7 linked regions of the Canis lupus familiaris genome follow. The protein of the gene in region 1 purifies or fractionates together with the protein of each later gene. This does not show direct contact. Links are inferred from orthologs where the notes say so. Each region holds a gene or a part of one and is shown in the gene's direction. Other genes may lie near its edges. The genes, in order: ZC3H18, FUS, SRRT, SRPK2, RBBP6, VIRMA and PRPF4B.

What was found.
Region 2: the proteins of ZC3H18 (region 1) and FUS purify together in Homo sapiens (affinity purification with mass spectrometry; 3 studies listed by BioGRID and IntAct, with this or other methods). This does not show direct contact. The link is inferred for Canis lupus familiaris from reciprocal best matches to the Homo sapiens genes ZC3H18 and FUS.
Region 3: the proteins of ZC3H18 (region 1) and SRRT purify together in Homo sapiens (co-immunoprecipitation; 4 studies listed by BioGRID and IntAct, counting the BioPlex papers as one, with this or other methods). This does not show direct contact. The link is inferred for Canis lupus familiaris from reciprocal best matches to the Homo sapiens genes ZC3H18 and SRRT.
Region 4: the proteins of ZC3H18 (region 1) and SRPK2 purify together in Homo sapiens (affinity purification with mass spectrometry; 3 studies listed by BioGRID and IntAct, with this or other methods). This does not show direct contact. The link is inferred for Canis lupus familiaris from reciprocal best matches to the Homo sapiens genes ZC3H18 and SRPK2.
Region 5: the proteins of ZC3H18 (region 1) and RBBP6 purify together in Homo sapiens (affinity purification with mass spectrometry; 3 studies listed by BioGRID and IntAct, counting the BioPlex papers as one, with this or other methods). This does not show direct contact. The link is inferred for Canis lupus familiaris from reciprocal best matches to the Homo sapiens genes ZC3H18 and RBBP6.
Region 6: the proteins of ZC3H18 (region 1) and VIRMA purify together in Homo sapiens (affinity purification with mass spectrometry; 3 studies listed by BioGRID and IntAct, counting the BioPlex papers as one, with this or other methods). This does not show direct contact. The link is inferred for Canis lupus familiaris from reciprocal best matches to the Homo sapiens genes ZC3H18 and VIRMA.
Region 7: the proteins of ZC3H18 (region 1) and PRPF4B purify together in Homo sapiens (co-immunoprecipitation; 4 studies listed by BioGRID and IntAct, counting the BioPlex papers as one, with this or other methods). This does not show direct contact. The link is inferred for Canis lupus familiaris from reciprocal best matches to the Homo sapiens genes ZC3H18 and PRP4K.

Annotation. Positions count from the first base shown.
Region 1 is NC_049226.1:65,246,645-65,250,144, reverse strand, and holds part of ZC3H18 (zinc finger CCCH domain-containing protein 18), read left to right. Parts: intron 1-499; coding exon 500-1,098; intron 1,099-3,500.
Region 2 is NC_049227.1:17,230,614-17,234,854, reverse strand, and holds the start of FUS (RNA-binding protein FUS), read left to right. Parts: upstream 1-1,441; 5' UTR 1,442-1,563; coding exon 1,564-1,576; intron 1,577-3,142; coding exon 3,143-3,167; intron 3,168-3,260; coding exon 3,261-3,415; intron 3,416-4,241. UniProt on the Homo sapiens protein: DNA/RNA-binding protein that plays a role in various cellular processes such as transcription regulation, RNA splicing, RNA transport, DNA repair and damage response. Binds to ssRNA containing the consensus sequence 5'-AGGUAA-3'.
Region 3 is NC_049227.1:8,831,701-8,835,200, reverse strand, and holds part of SRRT (serrate RNA effector molecule homolog), read left to right. Parts: intron 1-794; coding exon 795-964; intron 965-1,096; coding exon 1,097-1,281; intron 1,282-1,466; coding exon 1,467-1,565; intron 1,566-1,649; coding exon 1,650-1,767; intron 1,768-1,951; coding exon 1,952-2,109; intron 2,110-2,791; coding exon 2,792-2,853; intron 2,854-2,955; coding exon 2,956-3,034; intron 3,035-3,291; coding exon 3,292-3,480; intron 3,481-3,500. UniProt on the Homo sapiens protein: Acts as a mediator between the cap-binding complex (CBC) and the primary microRNAs (miRNAs) processing machinery during cell proliferation.
Region 4 is NC_049239.1:15,480,313-15,483,812, forward strand, and holds part of SRPK2 (SRSF protein kinase 2), read left to right. Parts: intron 1-495; coding exon 496-604; intron 605-1,685; coding exon 1,686-1,773; intron 1,774-1,966; coding exon 1,967-2,054; intron 2,055-3,500. UniProt on the Homo sapiens protein: Serine/arginine-rich protein-specific kinase which specifically phosphorylates its substrates at serine residues located in regions rich in arginine/serine dipeptides, known as RS domains and is involved in the phosphorylation of SR splicing factors and the regulation of splicing.
Region 5 is NC_049227.1:21,720,899-21,724,398, reverse strand, and holds part of RBBP6 (E3 ubiquitin-protein ligase RBBP6), read left to right. Parts: intron 1-387; coding exon 388-2,151; intron 2,152-2,510; coding exon 2,511-3,500. UniProt on the Homo sapiens protein: E3 ubiquitin-protein ligase which promotes ubiquitination of YBX1, leading to its degradation by the proteasome.
Region 6 is NC_049250.1:39,865,439-39,868,938, reverse strand, and holds part of VIRMA (protein virilizer homolog), read left to right. Parts: intron 1-1,203; coding exon 1,204-1,347; intron 1,348-3,177; coding exon 3,178-3,332; 3' UTR 3,333-3,500. UniProt on the Homo sapiens protein: Associated component of the WMM complex, a complex that mediates N6-methyladenosine (m6A) methylation of RNAs, a modification that plays a role in the efficiency of mRNA splicing and RNA processing.
Region 7 is NC_049256.1:5,595,361-5,598,860, forward strand, and holds part of PRPF4B (serine/threonine-protein kinase PRP4 homolog), read left to right. Parts: intron 1-1,616; coding exon 1,617-1,731; intron 1,732-1,824; exon of another isoform or gene 1,825-1,986; intron 1,987-2,316; coding exon 2,317-2,468; intron 2,469-2,892; coding exon of another isoform or gene 2,893-2,979; exon of another isoform or gene 2,980-3,500. UniProt on the Homo sapiens protein: Serine/threonine kinase involved in spliceosomal assembly as well as mitosis and signaling regulation. Connects chromatin mediated regulation of transcription and pre-mRNA splicing.

The DNA of each region.
Region 1 (3,500 bases):
GACCTGGGGACAAGGCAGGTCAGGGTTTCTGCTCTAGACCCTTGAGGATGGCTCCAGAAAGATAGCAGGGTGCCTTCAATTCTGTTGCTTCATTCTATAATGCAACTTTTCTTGGATTTTAAGAGTAATTTAAGAATCCAAAAAGCTGTCCCTTGCAATGCGTATCTTATTGCTCACTTTCTGTTTACCTACCAGGTTGTGCTTATGACAAGTACTCCAGGTCTCTGCCAGATTGATGCATGTGTGAGGCACTTAACACACAGCTTAGGGAGTACAGTGCAGCCTTGTGGAGGTCTTGTGGGTGGGTCCAGCCTGCCGGCCTCCCTGGTGAAACAGTCAGTGGCAGGAGACGGTGGAGTTGGGTCTGGGGTTTGGAGGAGCTGTGCAGGTCCTGGACCCGCCTGCAGGTCAGGAAGGAGCATGAGTCCAAAAATACCAGACCAGGATTTGTTTTCTGTTTTGCTAACTGCTGTGCATCTGTGTTGTCTTCATTTTGCAGAACTGTGGGTACCGATGGATGTGGCCGAGAGCCCTGAACGGGACCCTCGCTCTCCAGAGGACGAAGAAGAGGAGCAGCAGGGGCTCTCGGATGATGACATTCTGAGGGAGAGTGGGTCTGACCAGGATTTGGACGGAGCTGGGGAGAGGGCTTCTGATTTGGAGGATGAAGACAATGCAGCCCCAGGACTGAGCCAGGAGGAGGAGGAGAGTCACTCTGACGAGGAGGACCAGGACCAGGAGTCCGAGGCTCAGGATCTGAGCAGGGAGCCCACGAGCCCTCCACACGTTGAAGAGGGGGACGGTGGGGAAGAGGAGCACACAAGCGACCTGAGAGACGAGGCCTCATCGGTCACCAGGGACCTGGATGAGCATGAGTTAGACTACGATGAGGAGGTCCCCGAGGAGCCGGCCCCCGCTGGGCAGGAGGATGAGGCCGAGAAGGCTGGTGCTGAGGATGATGAGGAGAAGGGAGAAGGAGCTCCTGGGGAAGAGGGGGCTACAGGCGCTCACAGTGTGGAAGACAAGGAGCCCCTGGAGACCGCCAAGGAGAAAAACAAGGAGGATGATGACGGGGAGCTTGATGATGGGGAGCTCGACGTGAGTGCCTGGGCTGGTGGGGCAAAGGGTAGGGCACATGAGGGCTGGGAAGTCAGGACTATTCTGGGAGTGCCAAAAACCAAGGGAATAGGCTAGATTCAGACAACTGGGGTCTGCCACCTGGTGGCTGACAGAAGTTCCATGGACCCTCTGTCTACTGCTGCTGGTGGAGTATATTAAAATGCCTAATCCCGATTTTGTTTTCTTGAGCTCTAGGTTTGTGCAACCTAGAGAGATCATTTCTCCCTTTCTTTTTGCTATCTTTAAATAATACTTGAGATTATATTCAACTAAAACTATTGTAGATTTTCAGTTCCTGTCGGGTTTGTGAGACTCATGAACTCCAGAAGCTTGCTTTGAGTCTTGATTGTTCTTCCAGGCTTTTTTATCTTTGTACCTGAACCCATTCTTTGGCGAGGGTCCCAGCTGGACCAAGCATCTTTGGAGGTGTCCCTGAAAAGAGCTTTTGGAATGCATCATAGGGGTTGTGCCTCCAAACATCTCAGCCTTTGATTAAGCCATCATAATTTGTTATGATTTATTTAAGTAATCTGACTTTCAGGTTACAGAGAAGGTAACAGTAACATATTTTTTTGGACATGGATTGGTTGGGTTTTATAATGCAAATATTTAAGTTTTTTTTTATTTTAGTTCCAGCATAGTATTAGTTTCAGGTGTATAGTATAGTGATTAGCACTTCCATACATCACCACTTGCTCCTTGAGACACGTACACCCCTTCATCTTCATCCCCATCACCTGTTTCCCCCATCTCCCCACCCACCTCCCCTCTGGTGACTATCAGGGTGGTCTCTATAGTTCCGAGTGTGTTTCCAGGTTTGCCTCTCTCTTTTTACCGACTTTATTTCTTAAATTCTACATATGAGTGAGATCATATGGTATTTATCTTTTAATGACTGATATATTTCACCTAGCATTATACTCTCTAGCTTCATCCATGTTATTGCAAATGGCAAGATTTTACAGATGAGTAATTACTCATCTTTTTTTTTTTTTTTACAGATGAGTAATATTGCATTGTGTTTCTATACCATATCTTTGTTATCTGTTTATCTGTTGATGGACACTTGGGCTGTTTCCAAATTTTGACTACTGTAAATAATGCAGTATACATAGGGGTGCATGTATTCCTTTGAATTAGTATTTTTGTATTTTTTGGGTTAATGCCCAGTAGTGCAATTGGTGGACTGTAGGGTAGCTCTATTTTTAACTTTTTGAGGAACCTCTGTACTATTTTCCACAGTGACGGACCGCACCAGTTTGCATTCCCACCACCATTGTAAGGGGGTTTCCCTTTCTCCACATCTTGACAACACCTGCTGTTTCTTGCATTGTTGATTTTAGCCATTCTGACAGGTGTGAGGTGGTTTCTCATTCTGGTTTTGATTTGTATTTCCCTGATGATGAGTGATGTTGAGCATCTTTTCATTTGTCTGTTGGCCATTTGTTTGTCTTCTTTGTTTTTTGTTTTTTTGGGTTTTTTTTAAGATTTTATTTACTTATTTATGACAGACACAGAGAGAGAGAGAGAGGCAGAGACACAGGCAGAAGGAGAACCAGACTTCATGCAGGGAGCCTGACGTGGGACTCGATCCCGGGTCTCCAGGATCACACCCCGGGCCGAAGGCAGCACTAAATCACTGGGCCACCGGGTCTGCCCTGTTTGTCTTCTTTGGAGAAATGTCTGTTCATGTCTTCCGCTCATTTTTTAATTGAATTATTTGTTTTTTTGGTGTTGAATTTTACAAGTTCTTTACGTATTTTAGATACTAACCCTTTACTGGATATGTCATTTGCAAATATTGTTTCCCATTCTTTGGGCTGCCTTCAAGTTTTTTTGACTGTTTCTTTTGCTGTGCAAAAGCTTTTCATTTTGATGAAGTCCCAATAGTTCATTTTTGCTTCTGTTTCCCTTGCGTCTGGAGACGTATCTAGAAAAATATTGCCATAGCTGCTGGCTTTAAAGATGGAAGAATGAGTCAAAAACCAAGGAATGCGGGCAGCCTCCAGAAGCTGCAAAAGGCAAGGAAATGAATTTGTATATGGTACAAGAAAGTGGTCCAGTTTCATTCTGCATGTGGCTGTCTGGTTTTCTCAACACATTTGTTGAGACTTTTCCTCATTGCATATTCTTACCTCTTTGGTAATCATGATCTTTTTTTAAAAAGATTTATTTATGTATTTGAGAGAGAGAACACGTGTGCATGCATGGTAGGGGAGAGAGAGAGAAACAGTCCTAAGCAGACTCCTTACTGAGCTCAGAGCCTGACACGGGGCTCGATCTCACGACCCTAAGATCGTGACTCGAGCTGAAACCAAGAGTTGGACGTTAAACTGACTATGCCACCCAGGCACTTAAAAAGTTGAGTTTTGAGGGATGAA
Region 2 (4,241 bases), on another chromosome or scaffold:
CCTGGATCTAGCCCGCATCAGGCTCCCTGCATGGAGCCCGCTTCTCTGTGTCTCTGCCTCTCTCTCTCTCTCTCTGTGTGTCTCTCATGAATAAATTAAATCTTAAAAAAAAAAAAAAAAAGCAGTATTTTGCAGCCACACAGACCTGGACTGGAATCCGGTCGAACCCTTAGCCACCCTATAATCTGGATTGTGCTTGGCCTTCGTTGGATGCTTTCTTGCCTATAAAATGGGAGATACCTTTTCTTCACAAGATGGTGATGGGAACACAATCAATTAGCGTTGCTTTTTAAAAGATTATTTATTTGAGAGAGAGAGCGGGCACACCGCAGGAGCAGGAGCAGAGGTGGGAGCAGGGAAGAGGGGCAGAGGGAGAGGAAACCTCAAGCCATCCCCAACTGAGCGAAGAGCCAAGAGAGGGCTCAATCTCACCACCCTGAGATCACCACCTGAGCGGAAATCGAGTCCGATGCTTAATCAACTGAGCCATGCAGGCGCCCCTGAAGATTTTATTTTTAAGTCACCTCTACACCCAACGTGGGGCTGGAACTCATAACTCTGAGATCAAGTCACACACGCTCCACTGACTGCACCAGTCAGGCGCCCCTGATTGTACATTTTGAAACCACTTACACTCTCTATAAATATCAGTTATCACTGACCCTCCACGTTGGTTCCTTGGTAGGGCTTTAGGAAAAAAAAAAAAAGTTCTGCATCAGTAAAAGAAGTAAGGGAGACCCTAATCTAATCTCAACGGCTCTGACGTCCAGGAGGGCCTGGGCTTTCCCGTCCCACCGCTAAGTCAAGGGCAAAATCCAGAAGAGGTCTGGTGGGCGATCAGGGCTGGGGTCCGGGTTAAGCTCCTTTCAGGTCGGACGTCACGATCCACAATTGCTGGCAAGGACCAAGGGAGACGCAAACCAGAAAGATGATGGCAGGGGGAACCTGCGACGCGGGGCGTGTGTTGTCGGGGGGGGGGGAGGAACGTTTGAGCCGGAGAGGGAGGTTGGCGCCGCAGGGACCAAGCATCTGGTGCAGTGGAAGGGCACCGGGGCGCAGGGGCTCGCCGTCCTAGTGAAAGTGGGGCCCAGTGAAAGGGGCCAGCCGGGAGAATTTCGGTTCCCGCCCCGCGACTCCCGGCTTCGACTACACTTGCGTCCGCAGACGCCCTGGGCCCCTCGCTCCACCCCCAGGTGGGAGGGGTCAATGGACCGTACCATGATGCCCTTCTAGGGGGTGAAGGTGAGGCTTGGGCCAGTCCTGCAGGGAGAGTCAGAGTACTTTGCTAGGAAAAATAGGGTTATGTATGTTGCCTGCCAAGTTTCTTAATCGCTATGCTTCCCCTCTGTCTATGAGGATCCTCGGTACTCCCTGAGGGGTTGCAGAGTCCAGCCACGCTCCCCCCTTCCCTCTCCGCACTTCGTGCATTCCTCCGCGGTACGTAGGCGGGGGAGACGTACATAAGTCTCGACGCAGGAGGCGGGGCCGCTCAGTCCTCGAGGCGTCGGTGCTCTGCGGTGTTGGAACCTTGTTGCTTGCCGGCCTGTGCGCGCGTGCGCGGACATGGCCTCCAACGGTATGTAAGGGCGCGAGGCGGCGGCGGCGTGCCGGCCTGGGGCTTCGGTCCCTCCCAGCTGGGCTTTTTTTTTTTTTTTTCTTTTCTGATGGGACCCGGGTGGCGGATCGCGTGTAGGGTTTTCTCGCACCGCTGTGGCGGGAAGCAACGGGAGGGGTGGAGGGGGGGGGGGGAGGCCTGTGTCGCCATTTTGTTTCGCTTCTCCGGCGCCTTGCGCGTGGTAGGGGATCTTGCCGTCTCAGTGCCTTTACTTGAGGTGAGATTTGACACGGACGTTTCTTGGTAATTTGAAACGTGAGGCACGCATGGAAACGCTCGGTCCCGAAGCCTTCCCTCCCCCCCCCCCTTCCCAGCCGCGAGCTCGGGCCCCGCTTTGTCGCAGTGCTGCATCCGGGCACTCGGTGCGCGCACGCGCCCTGCTGGCCCCTCCCCCCTTTCTCGCGGCGCGAACCCCCCTCCCGCCTCGTGTTAGCCCTGCTTTTTGTCGCGATACTCTCCGCTGCAGGCTCCGTAGCGCGCGTCCGGTGTGGGCCTAGCCCCGGGGGTCCCTCGGGAAGGGGCGGGACCGCCTGCTTCCCGCCTCGGTTGCCACGCGGCCGGGGGCGGAGGCTCGGGATCGGGGCCGTGCGCCAGCTTAACGGTTTGGGGGAGGCCCCTAGGGGGTCGTCTAACGGACTTGGGACCGGGCCCGAGGGTTTTCCCGCCTAAATTTCCGCTTTCCGTGGTGGGAGTCGAGAGGAACGGCCGCCCGAGGCCACACCCTCTCCCGATCTTTTGCCCTTTTCCTGCGGGGGAAGCGCCTCGTTTCCTGTACTGAGGAGGTGATGAGTTGATCTGGGTTGGTGCGCCTTCATTGGGGGCGATTTAAAAGCGCTTTCGCGACATTTGGTTTGCCGAGACTCCCAACAGCCCTCGAGGAAGGCAATGCAGATGAGCAGACGGAATCGTTTGGAGGCACGGGGCTTGGCACTTGAGTCCCAGTTGATTGACCTCCGAAAGCGAACTCTGTGATGATCTCTGTTATTTGGGGTCGGAGAGTTCTCTTGGTTACGTGGCTTTGTACTAAAAAAGCCCACGTTGTCATTCTCCAAGATTAGGCAAAGGGTGAAGAATGGCCTCATTTGAGACCTATCTGTTCTTTGGGCTTGGTTGAGAGAGTGGAGGCCGCATCCCCCTCACTGCTGCCTTTGGCTTGCATCAAAATCTGTCCCCAGTTTGTGACTTTAACTCGACTGTTGATGATACCTTTCCCCTAGAGTAGGTAAGAAAATAAAATGTTATGTAGGTTTGTGCAGTTCCTGACATCAGTTGAATTCACAGAACATTGTAGTTTACCACCAAGATTCTTTTTTTTTTGTTTTGTTTTTGGTGAGACTTCTTGGTATCCATTGGGAGAAAACTTGATTATGACCTGCCATCTTGTCCTTCCTGTCATGAGGGAATTTCTGCCTTTTCTTGCAACATTGTTGATACTATCTGAAGGCCCCAGGGCTTGAGTTAAGAAATTTAATTCTGTTATACTCTCAAGGATGGCTGAAGGTAATGTAATTGTATTTTCTTTTGCAGACTATACCCAACAAGCAACCCAAAGGTGAGTGTTGTTTCAGGACTTCCAGTTCGTAGGGTGGCAAGGGTGGCTAAGGTATCTTTTCTTGATTCCACTGGTTTTTTTCTTTTTTTCCAGCTATGGGGCCTACCCCACCCAGCCTGGGCAGGGCTATTCCCAGCAGAGCAATCAGCCCTATGGACAGCAGAGTTACAGTGGTTACGGTCAGTCAGCAGACACTTCAGGCTACGGCCAGAGCAGCTATGGTTCTTCTTATGGACAGACCCAGAACAGTGAGTCTCTTTTAGTGGGTTACCCCGCCTCTTCCTGCTCTTTGAATGTTGCTTTTCTTAAACATTGCTGAAATGTTGAAACTGTATTTCTTTATTCGTAGTCTGTAACCCTTGAACTTTTTTTGGAGTTTGAATCTTTTCAAACAAATATTTAATTGGTTTGTAATTCTGGTTCCTTTTATTTCTGACTTTGAATTTTTCTGTTTATATTCTCCTTCCCATTTCCCTTCAGCATGACAATGAAATGTGGAGAGGAGAGTATTCCCTAAATGGAGAAAGTTTTAGGTTTTTTTTTTTTTTTTTTAAAGATTTTATTTATTTATTTATTAATTGAGAAACACAGAGGAGAGAGAGAGAGGCAGAGACACAGGCAGAGGGAGAAGCAGGCTCTGCGCAGGGAACCCAACGCGGGACTCAATCCCGGGTCTCCAGGATCACACCCTGGGCTGAAGGCAGCGCTAAACCACCAAGCCACCTGGGCTGCCCAGTTTTAGGTTTTTCATACAGGGAGGAAATGATTTGCTTAAAGATGTTTGAAGTCAGATTACTATGTATCATGGTGATACACAAACGGTAGAATGTACCTTGAGATCCTAATATGTACATAATGTGGGTTTCCCTATTTGTACTACACCCTTCTGAGAGGGTTAAAATACTTAATGAATAGGAATAGGAATCTCTTGGGATGGGATGCCTGGGTGGTTCAGCGGTTGAGCGTCTGCCTTTGGCTCAGGGCGTGACTCTGAGATCAAGTCTCACATTGGGTTCCCTGCATGGAGCCTGCTTCTCCCTCTGCCTACATCTCTGCTTCTCTCTCTTTGTGTCT
Region 3 (3,500 bases), on another chromosome or scaffold:
TTCAATTTCTGGGACTTTGTCACACTTTCCCTTTCTGTTTTTCTCATACTCTTCATTTTTTTTGTTTTTACCCCCTCAAGGTCCTATTTTAAATGTTTCCTTTCCATGCTCCACCCTAATCCTGCACCTCTTTTCTCTCTCTCTCTCTCTCTCTCCCTCTCTCTCTCTTTCTCTCTCTCTCTCCCTGTGGGCAGTACCTGAGGTTATAAGGGCACTTCAGTTTCTCCCTTTGATCTTTCCCTGTCCCTTCACCATCTGCTTTTCTTCCCAAGGGGGGAGAAAACTTCTGCCTTTTTTGGCTTTTCCTATCAGTGCATTTCAGGTTTCCCTCTGTCTTCCACCTAGGGATGGAGGGAGTTGGTGGGAGCAGTCCTGTTAATGACTAGCTCTTGGGTTGGCAAGGAGAGGGAGGTTCTCTGGGATCTACTATTTCCTTAGCCTTCCTCTTGGAAGCTTTGGGAAACTACAGTTTTTTAAGTTAGTGTTTCCCAGAGACACAGGGCAATCATTCTGCCTCTCTAACCCTGGCCTTCCCCTTTAGTCATGGCTTTTCCCAAATCCAGAGCTCTTAGTTCCTGGCTCTCCCACAAATCTTCTCAGAGCATAACCTCTGGTTCCTTTTGGGGGTATTGGGTGGTTCTAGTGTACCCTTCTCCCCAGTCTTTCTGCTTTCATGGTTTTTTGTGGGTGTGAGAGGATGGGGGCTAAGCCCTGACTTGCCTGGGCCCCTCCCCATGTCCTGGCCCTGGCATCCAGTGACTATTTTGTCTCTTCCCTCCCCACTTCCTTCCCAGGTTTCGGTCTAAGTACCACCCAGATGAGGTGGGGAAGCGTCGGCAGGAGGCCCGGGGGGCCCTGCAAAACCGACTGAGGGTATTCCTGTCCCTTATGGAGAGTGGCTGGTTTGATAATCTTCTCCTGGACATAGACAAAGCTGATGCCATCGTCAAGATGCTGGATGCAGGTATGTGGATTTGGGAGGGGAAGAGGGTGTCTGGTGACCCAAGATCTTGGTTTGGAAATAGAAGTCAGTTGATAAGCAAGAGGCTGAAGGCCAGGACCCTAGGATTGTGACCTCTGCTCCCTTTGTTGGTAGCTGTGATTAAGATGGAAGGAGGGACAGAGAATGATCTGCGCATCCTGGAGCAGGAGGAGGAGGAGGAGCAGGCAGGAAAGCCTGGAGAGCCCAGTAAGAAAGAGGAAGGCCGGGCTGGACCAGGCCTGGGGGATGGAGAGCGCAAGGCCAATGATAAGGATGACAAGAAAGAAGACGGCAAACAGGTCAGAGTGCTGGGCTCATTGGGTGCTGCCTCTGAGTTCCTAGGGAGGAGGAAGGTGCAACTTCAGTGGTCAGGGGGCCTGGTGGGTTGTGTGCTGGGTCCAGGAGAGGTGGAGGGCTAGGGAGGGGGCCCTCTGATAAAGGTTGAAGGGGAGATGGACATCCCCGGGATTGTCTGTACCTGCAGGCTGAAAATGACAGTTCTAATGATGACAAAACTAAGAAATCTGAGGGTGATGGGGACAAGGAAGAGAAGAAAGATGACTCTGAGAAAGATGCCAAAAAGGTAGGGTATCTCTTGCCAGGCGGTCATTGTCAGATCTGGGGTCCTGGTTATCTGACTCCCCTCCTCTTGCTGTGGCTCTCACAGACTAGCAAGAAGCGGAACAGGAAGCACAGTGGTGATGACAGCTTTGATGAAGGCAGCGTGTCAGAGTCCGAGTCAGAGTCAGAGAGTGGCCAAGCTGAGGAAGAGAAGGAGGAGTCTGGTAGGTTTTATCTTCTTTTAGTTCATTCTCTTCCTATTGAATAGGGGTAGGGGAGGTGGGAGTGGGCAAAATTGATAAGGGCCGGCCTTTGGGACATGGGGGTGGGGGGGGAGTTGCACCACTTCTTTCTTTCCCTCCAAAATCAACAATAAATATTCACCAACTTCCAACACTTCCTGCATAGAAGAGGCACTAAAAGAAAAGGAGAAGCCCAAAGAAGAAGACAGAGAGAAGCCTAAGGACACTCCTGGGTTGGAATGTAAACCTCGGCCCCTCCATAAGACTTGCTCCCTCTTTATGCGCAACATCGCACCCAACATCTCTCGAGCCGAGATCATTTCTGTGAGTGGGAAAAAGTGGTACTGGCTGCAGGAATGGCATATTTGGTAGCAGGGAAGGGGAGCTGGTGAGGCGGGGGTAAGATAATATGGTTCTGCTTCTAACATATACCCATTTCTCTAACAGGGAAGCCTCTTCTCGTGGGCCCTTTGTGGGCTGGCCCTCGATTATACCATTTGCTTCTAAGTGCTTTTACTCTTTAAAAATTTATTCATGAGAGACAGGCAGAAGATAGAGGGAGAAGCAGGCTTCCTGCAGGGAGCCAGATGTGGGACTTGATCCCAGAACCCCGGGATCACACCCTGAGCTGAAGGCAGATGCCCAACTGCAGAGTCACACAGGCGTCCCTTAAGTGCTTTTATGATTATTATTTTTTTAAAGATTTTATTTATTCATGAGAAAGAGAGAGAGGCAGAGACACAGGCAGAGCGAGAAGCAGGCTCCCCACAAGGAGGCAAATATGGGACTCAGTCCCGGATCCTGGGATCACACGCTGAGCCAAAGGCAGGTGCTCAACTGCTGAGCCACCCAGGCATCCCAAGTGCTTTTATTATTAAGCCCTTTATTGGTTTTTCCTTACTTGAAAGATTCACAGGCATTTCTCAGGGTTCTTAGGACACAGGGATTGGAAGAAGTGAGAAACGCTGAATTACTCATTGGGGTTTCTGTTCCTCTGTTTTTCCAGCTTTGTAAAAGATACCCAGGCTTCATGCGTGTGGCACTGTCAGAGCCCCAGCCTGAGAGGAGGTGAGGAATGGAGATGAGAGTGACCCTGTATACCTTGGAAATAGGTACAGGGGGAGGCTAATGGCCAGTATCCCAGGGTTATGCTGACCGTTTCTTCTGTAGGTTTTTCCGCCGTGGCTGGGTCACCTTTGACCGCAGTGTTAACATCAAAGAGATCTGTTGGAACTTGCAGAATATCCGAGTAAGTGCTGGGACTGGGTTCTCTGTAATGTACGTCACCCGATTCTTATTTGATTCATTTGTTGTGCTCCCACCCATCTGTTCAGTCTGCTCACATTAACTGTGTACTGGTGTCTGGCCTAGGTGCTGTCCCTGATAAGACCCTCCTGGTCCATGTTCTTGGGGAGCTCATGTTCTAGTCACTGGTCTTGTCACTAGGGCTAGTCCCTTGAGCTGCTGCTTCTCGGGCACATTTGGTGAGCTCTGTGTTCTCTCTAGCTCCGGGAGTGTGAGCTGAGCCCTGGTGTGAACAGAGACCTGACCCGTCGAGTCCGCAACATCAATGGCATCACCCAGCACAAGCAGATAGTGCGCAACGACATCAAACTGGCCGCCAAGCTGATCCACACGCTGGATGACAGGACCCAGCTCTGGGCCTCTGAGCCTGGGACACCTCCTCTGCCAACAGTCAGTGACTCCCATGGAAC
Region 4 (3,500 bases), on another chromosome or scaffold:
TTTTTATTTTGCTGAGTTATTATACTAACCCAAGAAGATTTGCATTGAATTTATTGCTTAGAAAAGAAGATGACATTGTATGGAAAAGTCAAGAACTGGTGTGTGCATATTATGTACACAAATTACTGTTACAGAGTGCTTGATGGCTTGTCTGAGTTAAATCAGAATGAACAGAAGGGCTTTTTAGGCAAAGGACATTTTTCTCTCGATGAAAGATACTTTCAAGAAAAATGTTGTATTATTAAACATATTTTGATCTGATTTTAGTACTTAGAGCTTTCTTAAATGGACTCAAGAACTGACTAAAGGGTGCACCTGGCGGGCTCAGTCAGTAGAGCATGTAATTCTTGATCTTGGGGTCTTGAGTTCAAGCTCCACATTGAGTATAGAGATTAATTGAAAAATAAATACAATCTTAAAAAAAAAAGAACTGACACAAAGGAAGAGATTTTATTACTATTTCTCTGAAATTAAAAAAAAAATTTTTTATAACAGGTGGCTACCATCCGGTGAAAATTGGAGACCTCTTCAATGGCCGCTACCATGTTATTAGGAAGCTAGGATGGGGACACTTCTCAACTGTCTGGCTGTGCTGGGATATGCAGTAAGTGTTCTTTGTCATTTGTGCATTTAGTTTCTGGACTAGTTCAACCTTTATAATACAATATGGCTGAGGAGCATGCCTACTTCTGTTGTGGCATGTATACTACTTGGCATAAGCCTGCCCCACTCACCTAGAGACCCACCCACCCCAGTCAGAAGTTCTCTTGTCTGTTATCTTAATATTATTAACTTTCTTCTGCTTTTATGTCTGAAGCTTATTCATTGAAATTGCATTGTATCACATATTCTTCTAATAATTCACCCATATCAGAGAAACATTCACATGTAAAATAATGATGTGTCGACCTTAAAAGTCAGTGGTTTCTAACTTTTTTTTTTTTTTTTTTTTACGGCTCCATAGTATGAAACTACAATGCTACCCCTTACACACATACATATATGGTGTGTATGTGTATGTACTAAAACAGAAGTGTTATAAAATAAGAATTACCTTTAATGTATGGATGAACTCTGATATTTTTCCAGTCTACCTTTTTTTTTTAATTAGGTAAAGACAACATGATGCAAAGAAGAGATTGTTTTGATCCATTAACCTATTGCTTAATTGCTGTTGCACAATTTGAAAAGTACTGTCTTGTTTTTTTTTTTTTTTTCAAGATTTTATTCATTTATTCATGAGAGACACAGAGAGACAGAGACACAGGCAGAGGGAGAAGGCTCCATGCAGGGAGCCCGATGTGGGACTCAATCCCGGGACTCCGGGATCACACCCTGGGCTGAAAGCAGGCGCTAAACTGCTGAGCCACCCAGGGATCCCCGAAAAAGTACTGTTTTAAAGGAAAGATTTTTAGAAGTTCTTATTTATTGGGATGCTTGGGTGGCTCAGTGGTTGAGCATCTGCCTTTGGCTCAGGTCCTGATCCTGGGGTCCTGGGATCAAGTCTTATATCAGGCTCCCCGCAGGGAACCTGCTTCTCCCTCTGCCTATGTCCCTGCCCCTCTCTCTGTGTGTCTGTCATGAATAAATAAAATCTTTAAAAAAAGGAAGTTTCTATTTATTGAATAGATGTTATTATAATGATTACTTCTGTTAATATTAAAAATATGCATTTTTTTTTAAAGGGGGAAAAGATTTGTTGCAATGAAAGTTGTAAAAAGTGCCCAGCATTATACAGAGACAGCCTTGGATGAAATAAAACTGCTCAAATGTGTAAGTATCCCCAAAATGTGAATAATGCAAGAAAAATTAATGACAAAATTTTACAGAGGAATTTTTAAGTTTGAATGATGAATCTTTTATCTTTAAAAACATCCATTTTACTAAAATGTTTTTAGTTGATTATAATGGAAATGACTTTCAGTCTTAAATATTTCTGTCCTTGAATTCATTTTTTTTCCTGTAGGTTCGAGAAAGTGATCCCACTGACCCGAATAAAGACATGGTAGTACAGTTAATTGATGACTTCAAGATTTCAGGCATGAATGGAATACGTATCCTTACTGATAATTCTTTTATTTCCTAGTGGCTTTTTACTTTTAAAATATGGAAATATTTCAAGCTTGTTTAAACTCCTGTTTGCTGTGCTGTATCAATGTCTATATAAAGCCTCTACTGTCATCATAGAATGCTATAACATGGTATGCCGAAAATTCCCCAATTCCTGCCAGTCCATTTCAGTGTCTTGGGTAATCTCTCTGGGGTTGTACAGCATCTTAAACATTCTTCTTGTCCAGGCACCGTGCTCTTTACAGACAATCCCTCTACCTTCAATATCAAGCTGGGGAAGAACCATACATATGTGTAAGTAGAGAGCAGAGAAAGATTAGTCACAGTCATCATTACAGATGAAAAGGAGCAAAAGATCGGTTGTGTCAAGAGTCAGGGTCTTCTCCTTGCCAATCTTTTGCTCCTTCCATCATAACATGTTTGGAACAGATCCATCATTTTGGTATTTGACCTCCTCCAGCTCCAGAAGCCCGAGGACAAAGCCTTCTCCCAGCTTACAGCCCAGACTGGTACCCTGTTTCTGTATCTCCTAAGCTTTAATCCCTGAGCAGGCACTTCCTTCATACCCTGTATGTCTGAAGGAGGTTCTGTATTTCCTTCAGAGATTGGATTAGAGGGTACTAGTAAGTACCAGTGCCTGCTGATGTCACTTTGTCTTTTCCTCAAGATTATTTCTGGTTGTTGCTCAGTGCATTTTCCCCTCGTTTTTTTTTTTTTTTTTTTTTTTTTTTTTAAAGATTGATTTTTGAGGGAGAGATTTGAAGAGGAGGAGGGGCAGAGAGAAAAGGAGAGAAAGAATCTCAAGCAGACTCCCCACTGAGCATGGAGCCCGATGCAGGGCTCAATCTCATGACCCTGAGATCACATACTGAGCCAAAATCAAGAGTCAGACGCTCATCCAAGTCATTCAGGTTCTGGTGTTCTTTCCACCACCCTATAGACAGAGCTGGTCCTTTGCCCTGTCTCCAGGTGAGCTTGTTTGTTTATGGGCAGGCAGGGCAGCTCCTCTTCTTAGTTTTGTAAGGCAGTTTGCTGGGATAGCTGAGAGAATTTCTTTGGAGAAACTACCTGATTTATAGGTAAATGGAGTGTTTTGGGTATATATACATTCCAGTGGCTGTTATTACTATTTTATAAAGCGCCAGGGAAACCATTATAGTCCAGGTTGTCAGTGCTTTGAGAAGATTTAGGTCATAATTTAGAAATCTTGGCCTTTGGCTCTGCGTCTTTTACCAACTGTAATCATTTTGCCATTTTTTATAATGATTTGGGAAATAGTAAGAAACTTCTGGCTTTATATTATCTGTGCATAAATCTATAATGTTCTCCTACAGTGTAGAAATGCTTTTTAAATTTTTCACTAAAAATATTTAAAGCAAAAAATAAAATAAAATAAAAATATTTAAAGCAACTGTGATAATTTGATTGGT
Region 5 (3,500 bases), on another chromosome or scaffold:
CTTACATTTGAAATGTGGTTCCTTTCAAAGCTAGACTATTGGCCGACGTAGGACAAAGAAATTACTCCTACTTAAATAACCAGATAGGAAGTTAAATTTAATTGGCATTTTGTTTAGTGTTAACTTAATTAGCTCATATAACTCACGGTACATTAATGCGCTTCACTCTAATTGTCAAGATTTCACTTTTGTTTTGTAACAAGTGATTGCTCTGATCTTTGTGTACTTTATTCCATTCCAGTAGAGGTCACTGTGCCTCTTTAATCATCTAAGATGAAATTTGATATAAAAGATGGAACCGTGAGGAGAGCATGCTAGAGTCTGAATCTGTATTTTATTTTGTATGTATTTCTCAACTATCAATTATTGTTTTGTTTTTGTTTTTAGGTCTAAATCTCCTTATAGTGGTTCATCATATTCAAGAAGTTCCTATACTTATTCTAAGTCAAGATCTGGTTCAACACGTTCACGTTCTTATTCTCGATCATTTAGCCGCTCACACTCTCGTTCCTATTCACGATCGCCTCCATACCCCAGAAGAGGCAGAGGCAAGAGCAGAAATTACCGTTCACGGTCTAGATCTCATGGATATCATCGATCTAGGTCAAGGTCACCCCCATATAGACGGTATCATTCACGGTCAAGATCTCCTCAAGCATTTAGGGGACAGTCTCCCAATAAACGTAATGTGCCTCAAGGGGAAACAGAACGTGAATATTTTAATAGATACAGAGAAGTTCCGCCACCTTATGACATGAAAGCTTATTATGGGAGGAGTGTTGATTTTAGAGACCCATTTGAAAAAGAGCGTTACCGAGAATGGGAGAGAAAATATAGAGAGTGGTATGAAAAGTATTATAAAATAGGTTATGCTACTGGAGCACAGCCTAGACCATCAGCAAATAGAGAGAACTTTTCTCCAGAGAGGTTTTTGCCTCTTAATATCAGGAATTCTCCCTTCACAAGAGGCCGCAGAGAAGATTATGCTGGTGGACAAAGTCATAGAAGTCGAAACTTAGGTGGCAACTATCCAGAAAAGCTTTCAACAAGAGACAGTCACAATCAGAAGGACAACACAAAGTCGAAAGAGAAAGAGAGTGAAAATGCTCCTGGAGATGGTAAAGGAAACAAACATAAGAAACATAGGAAAAGAAGAAAGGGGGAGGAAAGCGAAGGTTTTCTAAACCCTGAGTTGTTAGAAACTTCTAGGAAATCGAGAGAACCTACAAGTGGTGAAGAAAATAAAACTGACTCATTGTTTGTTCTCCCAAGTCGAGATGATGCTACACCTGTTAGAGATGAACCAATGGATGCAGAATCTATCACTTTTAAATCAGTGTCTGAAAAAGACAAGAGGGAGAAAGACAAACCAAAAGCAAAAGGTGACAAGACCAAACGGAAAAATGATGGGTCTACAGTGTCCAAAAAAGAAAACATTGCAAAACCTGCTAAGGGACCTCAAGAAAAACTAGATGGAGAGCGTGAAAAATCTCCTCGATCTGAACCTCCACTTAAAAAAGCCAAAGAGGAGACTCCAAAGACTGACAATGCTAAGTCATCATCTTCCTCCCAAAAAGATGAAAAGATCATTGGTACCCCCAGGAAAGCTCACTCTAAGTCAGCAAAGGAACACCAGGAGACAAAACCAGTCAAAGAGGAAAAAGTGAAGAAGGATTATTCCAAAGATGTCAAATCAGAAAAATTAACAAATAAGGAAGAAAAGGCCAAGAAGCCTAGTGAGAAAAGTAAGCCACCTGACAGCAAGGGAGAAAAAAGAAAAAGAAAAACCGAAGAAAAAAGCGTAGATAAAGATTTTGAGTCCTCTTCAATGAAAATCTCTAAACTAGAAGTAACTGAAATAGTGAAACCATCACCAAAGCGCAAAATGGAACCAGATATTGAAAAGATGGATAGGACCCCTGAGAAGGACAAGATTTCATCATCCTCAACTGCCCCAGCCAAAAAAATCAAGCTCAACAGAGAAACTGGTAAAAAAATTGGAAGTACAGAAAATGTATCTAATACAAAAGAACCCTCTGAAAAATTAGAGTCGACATCTAGCAAAGTTAAACAAGAAAAAGTAAAAGGAAAGGTCAGACGAAAAGTAGCTGGAGCTGAGGGATCCAGCTCAACGCTTGTGGATTACACCAGGTATCTGATTATGGGTAGTTGGATGTAGATGTTTGTTTTGGGGGAGAATATCCTTTAATTTTATCCATGCTTGTACTTTTAAAGGGTCTGTTAATTAAAAAGGGGTTAGACTGGTTTACTGGTTAGACTGGTCTTTAATGAAAGGAGTTGAAGATTGTAAATCAGTTTGTGGGTGAGCCACATTTGTTTTTATGCAGTCCTACATTTGAATCATTTAATCTCTATTAGAGTAGCGCCAATGGCTTTGAGAGTTAAAAGGACGTTTATGTTTAAGTTAGCCTTATTATACTTCAATGTTCAGTAAAAGTAAATTCTTCATTAAATTCTTCATTATTTAACAATATTTTAATTGTTTTTAGTACGAGCTCAACGGGAGGCAGTCCTGTGCGGAAATCTGAAGAAAAAACAGATACAAAACGAACTGTCATTAAAACTATGGAAGAATATAATAACGACAATACAGCTCCTGCTGAAGATGTTATTATTATGATTCAGGTTCCTCAGTCCAAATGGGATAAAGATGACTTTGAATCTGAAGAAGAAGATGTTAAGACCACACAGCCTATATCAAATGTAGGAAAACCTGCCAGTGTTATTAAAAATGTTAGCACTAAACCATTAAATACAGTCAAGTATACTGAAAAAGAAAGTGAGTCATCAGAGAAAATTCAGAAACTCACCAAGGAAGTGAGCCATGAACTTATACAGCATGAGATCAAAAGTTCAAAAAATTCTGCCTCCAGTGAAAAGGGAAAGACCAAAGATCGAGATCATTCAGTTTCAGAGAAGGAAAACCCTGAAAAGAGGAAGAACAGCGCTCAGCCAGAGAAAGATAGTAACTTGGACCGTCTAAGTGAACAAGGGAATTTTAAAAGTCTGTCTCAATCTTCCAAAGAGACAAGAACGTCAGATAAGCATGATTCAGTTCGAGGTTCCTCAACTAAAGACTTTACCCCCAACAGAGACAAAAAAACTGACTACGACAACAGAGAGTACTCAAGTTCCAAACGTAGAGATGAAAGGAATGAATTAACAAGAAGGAAAGACTCTCCTCCTCGAAGTAAAGATTCTGCATCTGGACAGAAAACTAAGCCAAGAGAGGAGAGAGATTTGCCCAAAAAAGGAACAGGAGATTCCAAAAAGAGCAGTTCCAGTCCCTCAAGAGACAAAAAACCTCATGATCACAAAGCTACTTATGATACTAAACGCCCAAGTGAAGAAATAAAACCTGTAGATAAAAATCCTTGTAAAGATCGTGAGAAGCACATGTTAGAAGCAAGGAACAATAAAGAATCAAGTGGCAATAAATTACTATATGTGCTTAACCCACCAGACCCACAGATTGAAAA
Region 6 (3,500 bases), on another chromosome or scaffold:
TTTTCTACACTCAGTGTGGAACTAGACCTCATTACCCCAAGATCATGAGTTGCATGCTTTACCAACTGAGCCAGCCAGACACTTCAGTTTAATGTTTCAGATTGTTTCAAGATTTTATCTGTTAATAAGTTCCATTTCAAACATTGTACACCTGTGTCATACCTATTTCAAAAATGCCACCCTCCATATGGGAGTTAGGGAGACCACTGCACAGTAGAGCTTTAAACACAAATCTTATTTCTTTTTTTTTTTTTTTTTTTAAAAAGATTTTTTTTTTAATTTTTATTTATTTATGATAGTCACAGAGAGAGAAAGAGAGAGAGGCAGAGACACAGGCAGAGGGAGAAGCAGGCTCCATGCACCAGGAGCCCGACGTGGGATTCGATCCCGGGTCTCCAGGATCGCGCCCTGGGCCAAAGGCAGGCGCCAAACCGCTGCGCCACCCAGGGATCCCTCTTATTTCTTTTTAAAGCTACTGTTGTAGAATTTAACAAAAATACATGAAACTTGTTTTATTGATCATTAACGGTGGCTGCTTTTACTTCATGATTTTTTTGTTTCTGTGATTTATTGAACATTCTTTGTTTAAACTTCTTAGAAACAGTGCATTTGTAGAAATTATTCTTCACTAGTGGATTGATGACATGTTTTCGTACTGCTGACTTGGCAGTGAGAGAATAGCAGTTTACATTAATAACAAACACATAGCTGTGTTAGGACTATTATATATATAATACTCTCAAATCAGCCCTTTGAAGTAAGTTCTGTTAGTACCCCCACTTTACAGCAGAGAAAACTACCAGTCAGCTCACCAGGATATATAAGTGGCAGAACCAGTATTTGAACCCTGGCAGTCTGGCTCCAGAGCTTCTGCTTCTAACCACATACAGTACTGCCACAATGTAGTATATGGCAAATATGTCATTTACAGAATTTCATAGTTTCTCTTGTTACTTTGAAGATTAAGAAAAACACGTTGAACCTTAAAAAAAAAAAGGTTATTTATTTATTTATTTGAGAGCGAGTAAGTGAGCATGAGTGAGGGGAAGGTCTGAGGAAGAGGGAGAGGGAGCCTGACGTGGGGCTGGACCCCAAGGTCATGACCTGAGCCAAAGGTAAATGCTTAACTGACTGGCACCCCAGTATCAAATCTTTTTTAATCCAACTAAAGTAGTAGACCTTAATTGTGTTATCTGTGTTCAGGGAACTACAGTCGTCGGGAGGGAACGAGAGGTTCCAGTTGGAGTGCACAGAATACTCCTCGAGGAACTTACAATGAAAGTCGCGGAGGCCAGAGCAACTTTAACAGGGGCCCTCTTCCACCATTACGACCACTTAGTTCTACAGGTATATATCCTTCCTTTTTATTTTATTTATTTATTTATTTATTTCTACAGGTATATATCCTTCCATTTTATTTTATTTTATTTTATTTTATTTTATTTTATTTTATTTTATTTTATTTTATTTTATTTTATTTTATTTTATTTATTTATTTATTTATTTATTTATTTATTTATTTATTTATTTTGGGGGGGGTATATATCCTTCAGAGTTAATACTGCTGAGAGAGGGATGTCATAAACTCTCATTCTGGGAGAGAACATTTTGGAATGTAGGCTTATAATTCTATAGGCAATTTAATTTTATATCTGCAAATGAATGCCCAATGTATATTTCCTGTAGAAATAATCAAAATTCTGGATTCTGAACTATGTGTATAATCTTGGCAGTTTCACAGGGACATGCTCTGTTTTTTTTTGTTTTGTTTTGTTTTTGTTTTTTTAAAAACAGGCTCTTTAAGATTTTATTTATTTATTCATGAGCGAGAGAGAGAGAGAGAGAGAGAGAGAGAGAGAGAGAGAGGCAGAGGGAGGAGCAGAAGCAGGTTCCATGCAGGGAGCCCAACGTGGGACTCCAGGATCCTGGGTCTCCAGGATCAGGCCCTGGGCTGAGGGTGGTGCTAAACTGCTGAGCCACCCGGGCTGCTCTGTTTTTGTTTTTAAAAATTTTATTTATTTACTCATGAGAAACAGAGAGAGAGAGAGAGAGAGGCAGAGACACAGGCAGAGGGAGAAGCAGGCTCCATGCAAGGAGCCGGATGTGGGACTTGATCCTAGATCTCCAGGATCACACCCTGGGCTGAAGGCGGTGCTAAACCGCTGAGCCACCTGGGCTGCCCCCTGCTCTGTTTTTTGTGTTTTTAAAAGACTATTTATTTGAGAGAGAGAGAGTGGGAGTTGGAGGTGAAACCAAGAGTTGGACACTTAACTGACTGAGCCACCCAGGCATCCTTTGCTCTTTTTTTATATTTCTTCTTCTTTTTCTTTCTTTCTTTTTTTTTTTTTTTTTTTAAAGATTTTATTTATTTACTTGAGAGAGAGAGTGTGTATGTACTCCCAAAAGGAGGGGAGGGACAGAGGGAGAGGGAGAAGCTCCTTGCTTAGCAGGGAGCCTGATGCAAGGCTCAATCCCAGGACCATGGGATAATCATCACCTGAGCCGAAGACAGATGCTTTACTGAGCCACCCAGGCACCTCTCCTTTTATATTTCAATGATGAAAGCCAATCCTTAAGGTTTTTTTTGCTCAAAGTATTTTAATAACAGAGATATCTTCATGCAGTATATTCTGTTTCTGTTTACAATATTGTCTTGTGTGTTTAGGCACGCAACCTGTTTTTCTTAAAACACTATTATGTCAAGTCTGGAATTCTGATCACAAGTAGCTTTTGGTTTCAAATACACTTTCATTTTTATTTTTTTATTTTTTATTTTTTTTAATTTTTATTTATTTATGATAGTCACACACAGAGAGAGAGAGAGGCAGAGACGTAGGCAGAGGGAGAAGCAGGCTCCATGCACCGGGAGCCCGAAGTGGGATTCGATCCCGGGTCTCCAGGATCGCGCCCTGGGCCAAAGGCAGGCGCTAAACTGCTGCACCACCCAGGGATCCCCACTTTCATTTTTATAACAGCTTTATTTGAGATATAATTCTCGCATATCATATAACTTAACCTATTTAAAGTGGACAATTCAGTAGTCTTTACCCCATTCACAGATTTTTAAAGGAGCAAAGAGTAATTCCTGTCTTAGTTTGAAATCAGCTTTATAGATTACTGTTTCTATAGTGGGAAAGGAAAGGATATTATGACTAAAAACTATTTTTTCTTTTATAGGCTACCGACCAAGTCCTCGTGACCGCGCTTCCAGAGGTCGTGGGGGTCTTGGACCTTCCTGGGCAAGTGCAAATAGTGGCAGTGGAGGCTCAAGAGGAAAGTTTGTTAGTGGAGGCAGTGGTAGAGGTCGTCATGTACGATCCTTCACACGATAAAAATTCTTTTGGGAACATCCTGAGTGTATATGAACATTTCCTGAGGACGATAAAAATAAAATGAGACATTAAAGGACCAACTTAGACTTAGCAGTTATCTGGAGACATCTGAGAGAATATTTTTATCTGAAGAAAGCAGATTTTGTTTGATACCTAACACAAGATTTC
Region 7 (3,500 bases), on another chromosome or scaffold:
CGTAATAGATTTTGTTTGACTTTACAATGTGTTACACATCTAATATGACCTGGGATTAGAGAAGCTAAGTAATTACAGTGAAATAAGTGAATTATAGACCTGTCTAGTCAACTTCAAAGTTAATGTTTATCTCCATTTGTTTCTTTTAAATTGTGAAATACACCATCTGTACCGAAGACTGTATAAAATATGTAAAATTTAAAGGTAATTATGCAGTGAACATCTGTGTAACCACCATAGAAGTTAAGACATTTGCCAGTATCTTAGGAGCTCTTGTTTTTAAAACTTCATTTTCTTTGAGTTAATGCTACTCTGGTAGTTTACACATGGACTTCAGACATTACAGGTTTCTCTCCTTCCTGAGAACGAGGAGGTAGACATCAGAAACCAGAGGGAGTTTATGAATGAAAATCCAAACCCTTTAGCCCAGCATTTCAGCCATCAGTGTGGTAGGAGTTCCATGTTTCTCATGGAGGTTGTGTAGCCAAACTGGAGAGTGCAGATAAGTGTGGGTATCCTGTGATTATTTAAGGCGTCTTAGCCAGCCCAGGAGTTCAACTGATAATTTCTCATTTAAAAATTGTCCGTGAAAAATAATCATTTCCGTTACTAGCTTAATTCTGTGGATATCCTCTTTAATGGGCCAATCTGTAACACTGACCAAGTGTTCTGGTGTCCCAATAGAAAGTGCCTAGTTTATTTAAAGTGTTATGTTTCTTTGGGGTGGGAACTGTAGGCCAAGTTCAAGTCCCAACTCGGAATTTGTGTGTGTCTCTTTTGAAGGGGGGAAGGGACTCTGGAATATGAATTATCTTCACTTGTTAGACCTGAACATGCTTCTGACTCATGAGTGGCAGCAGCCATGGGAGCAACTCCAGCCTTTCTCAGCAGATGTCACTGTTACTGTGTATGTTGAAGTATTTACAAAGGAAAAAAGAAACAAATAACTAATATAGAGTTCGTGTTTATCAGTTGTGCCAAATATATTTAACATTTTCTTAACTAATACCTTCTTTATATTTAAGGGATTTGATACTTTTTAGACTTGAAGTGATTGCTAAATATGGGATGGTCTAGCCGCTTCGGATGAAGAATGTTCTTATTCTGTTTTTGTCCAGATTTAATCTGAATCATCCTCTGCTTTCATTGCTGTCATAATTTTCTGGCAACTGAAAGTTAACTACAGTCACTTGAAAGTTAACCTAAATCTGATCCTTATTAATGAATTGTCTTCATGTTCCTTTAAATAGTAACTCGACTTGATTCAGGTATTCTGGGGATTTTTAGAAGATGCTTTGCTTCAATGAGATTTTTCTCTTACTATACCCCTCCCTTTTCTAAGTAGCATTGGTTAAAATTAAATGTCCTTGGTATTAGCCCGTATTTCTTCACTGAAAAAAGTTTTTTTTTTACTCATAGTAATCAAATATTTAATAGCTTTTAATTTTTTTATAATTAGGAAATTGACTTATTACATAATTAGAAAAGGAATTTTAAAATGGGTAACTTTGTTTTCAGTATTGGAAGTAACTTCTCAAAGCCAGTTATTTTTATCTGATTACTTGTCATAATTATTTTGGACATGAATTAAACTTCCATGATAAACTGTTTTGCAGGTTAATGAATCAAAAACTATTTTAAAGCTCTGCGATTTTGGGTCGGCTTCACATGTTGCGGATAATGACATAACACCTTATCTTGTCAGTAGATTTTATCGTGCTCCTGAAATCAGTAAGTTTCTTCAAATGTTCTTTGACCTGGGCCATCATATGCAGTGGAAACAGCATATTTAATGTCTAAGTACTGTTTTCCATCGCACTTCAGCAGCTGCACGAGGTCATTGATGAGGAAGGGAACCGTAGCAAGTTCATCCTCCTCAGGTGGAATGGTGGTAGTTGTGACAGGAGTCTTGATCATGTCTGGCAAGAGTAGCAAAACAGTTGTGGAAAATCTTCGGCTTTAGAAGACTGCTCTTGATTACTCAAGGTCTGATTATCAAATTTATGGATTGTATGGGACCTTTTTTTGCTCTTCCTGTGCCTTGGTTGAGGCTGGTTAGCACCTCCACCAAAGGTGAAATAAAAGAAATACACACTTCCTCTGCCCCCTGCCCCCCTTTCAATTCCTTCTGCATTCCCTCATTTTTTAAGATTTTAAGTTAAGAATTAGTGGGGGAAAAAAAAACATGAAGCTAATGCCAAAGTGAGGTATTAAGATTGCAGTTATGTAAGCCAAGCTAAATTAATCCCCTATTAATGAAAGTAAATAGTGGATTGTTACTATCATCATGTATTAAAACTTCTGTTTTGTTTTCAGTTATAGGTAAAAGCTATGACTATGGTATAGATATGTGGTCTGTAGGTTGTACCTTATATGAGCTCTACACTGGAAAAATTTTATTTCCTGGCAAAACCAATAACCATATGTTGAAGCTCGCCATGGACCTCAAAGGAAAGATGCCAAATAAGGTAGGGCATTAATGTGAGTTTTTATTATTATTTTTTTAACGTCTTAGCAATAGTTTACTGTAGACCAATGCATTACTGCACTCATCACTCACTAGTGGCTATAAAACCATTTCAGAAAGGCAGCTATATGGCTACTGTGATTCCTTAGCTCTTTTTCATTTCTGCTACTAAAGGTAGTGGTTCTAGTCAGCGAAGAGCTATCAGAAGTGAATAAGAGAGCTCCATTTTCCTGTTCCCCTCTAACATCTCTCTTTGCTTTTCTTTACTCTTTTAAGCAGAAGAGTAGGGGCCTACAGAATAGAATTGGAATTGAGGAAGAGAGATTGATGAGCATACATTTGTTAAGCAACCATACATGTATATATGACTGTTTCATATCTTTGTTCTTCCCTTGTTCCATTTATTATCCTTTAATGATGGGCAGAGAAGCAGCCTTGGGAGCACACCGTTATTGGTAACAGCACCAAACATGCTTGAGAGGTGGAATGAAAAAAGATGCAGGTCAGGTTAGTTCAGATGTGAAGAAGGGCTCAGTTGCCAGAGAATGACGGGTGAATATTGGAAAAGGAACTTGATGGCAATCAGCTTATTAAAGATTGGAAGTTATTTGGGAAAGGAAGGTACCAAGAAAAACTCACTTGAAATTGACGTCCTTCTAACATAAAACTTGCCCTTAATGCTTCAGCTGCAATAATTAGTTTCAGAAATGAAGCAGAAATTTTAGGCACTTATTAACTTGTCTGAGGGCTATATGTTAGATTTCCGATGACTTCAGCTTAATTTGCTGAATTTCTGGGAGTTTACAGATTTTTCCCAAAGTAGGTCAGAAGCCATTATGTTTTTTAGGTACTGTCCAAATTCAATCATGTTGCACTTGTTTAGAATAATTTACACAGAAATTAGTTAACGTTGGTATTTGTTTTAATGAGGTCTGACCTGTATCATTTCAGGGCTGTTGGAACTTAATTTTTAAAATGTCACTGGGTTTCTTAAACTGCCAAGAGAAAAGGCCCCTAATGTGTTATATTTTTC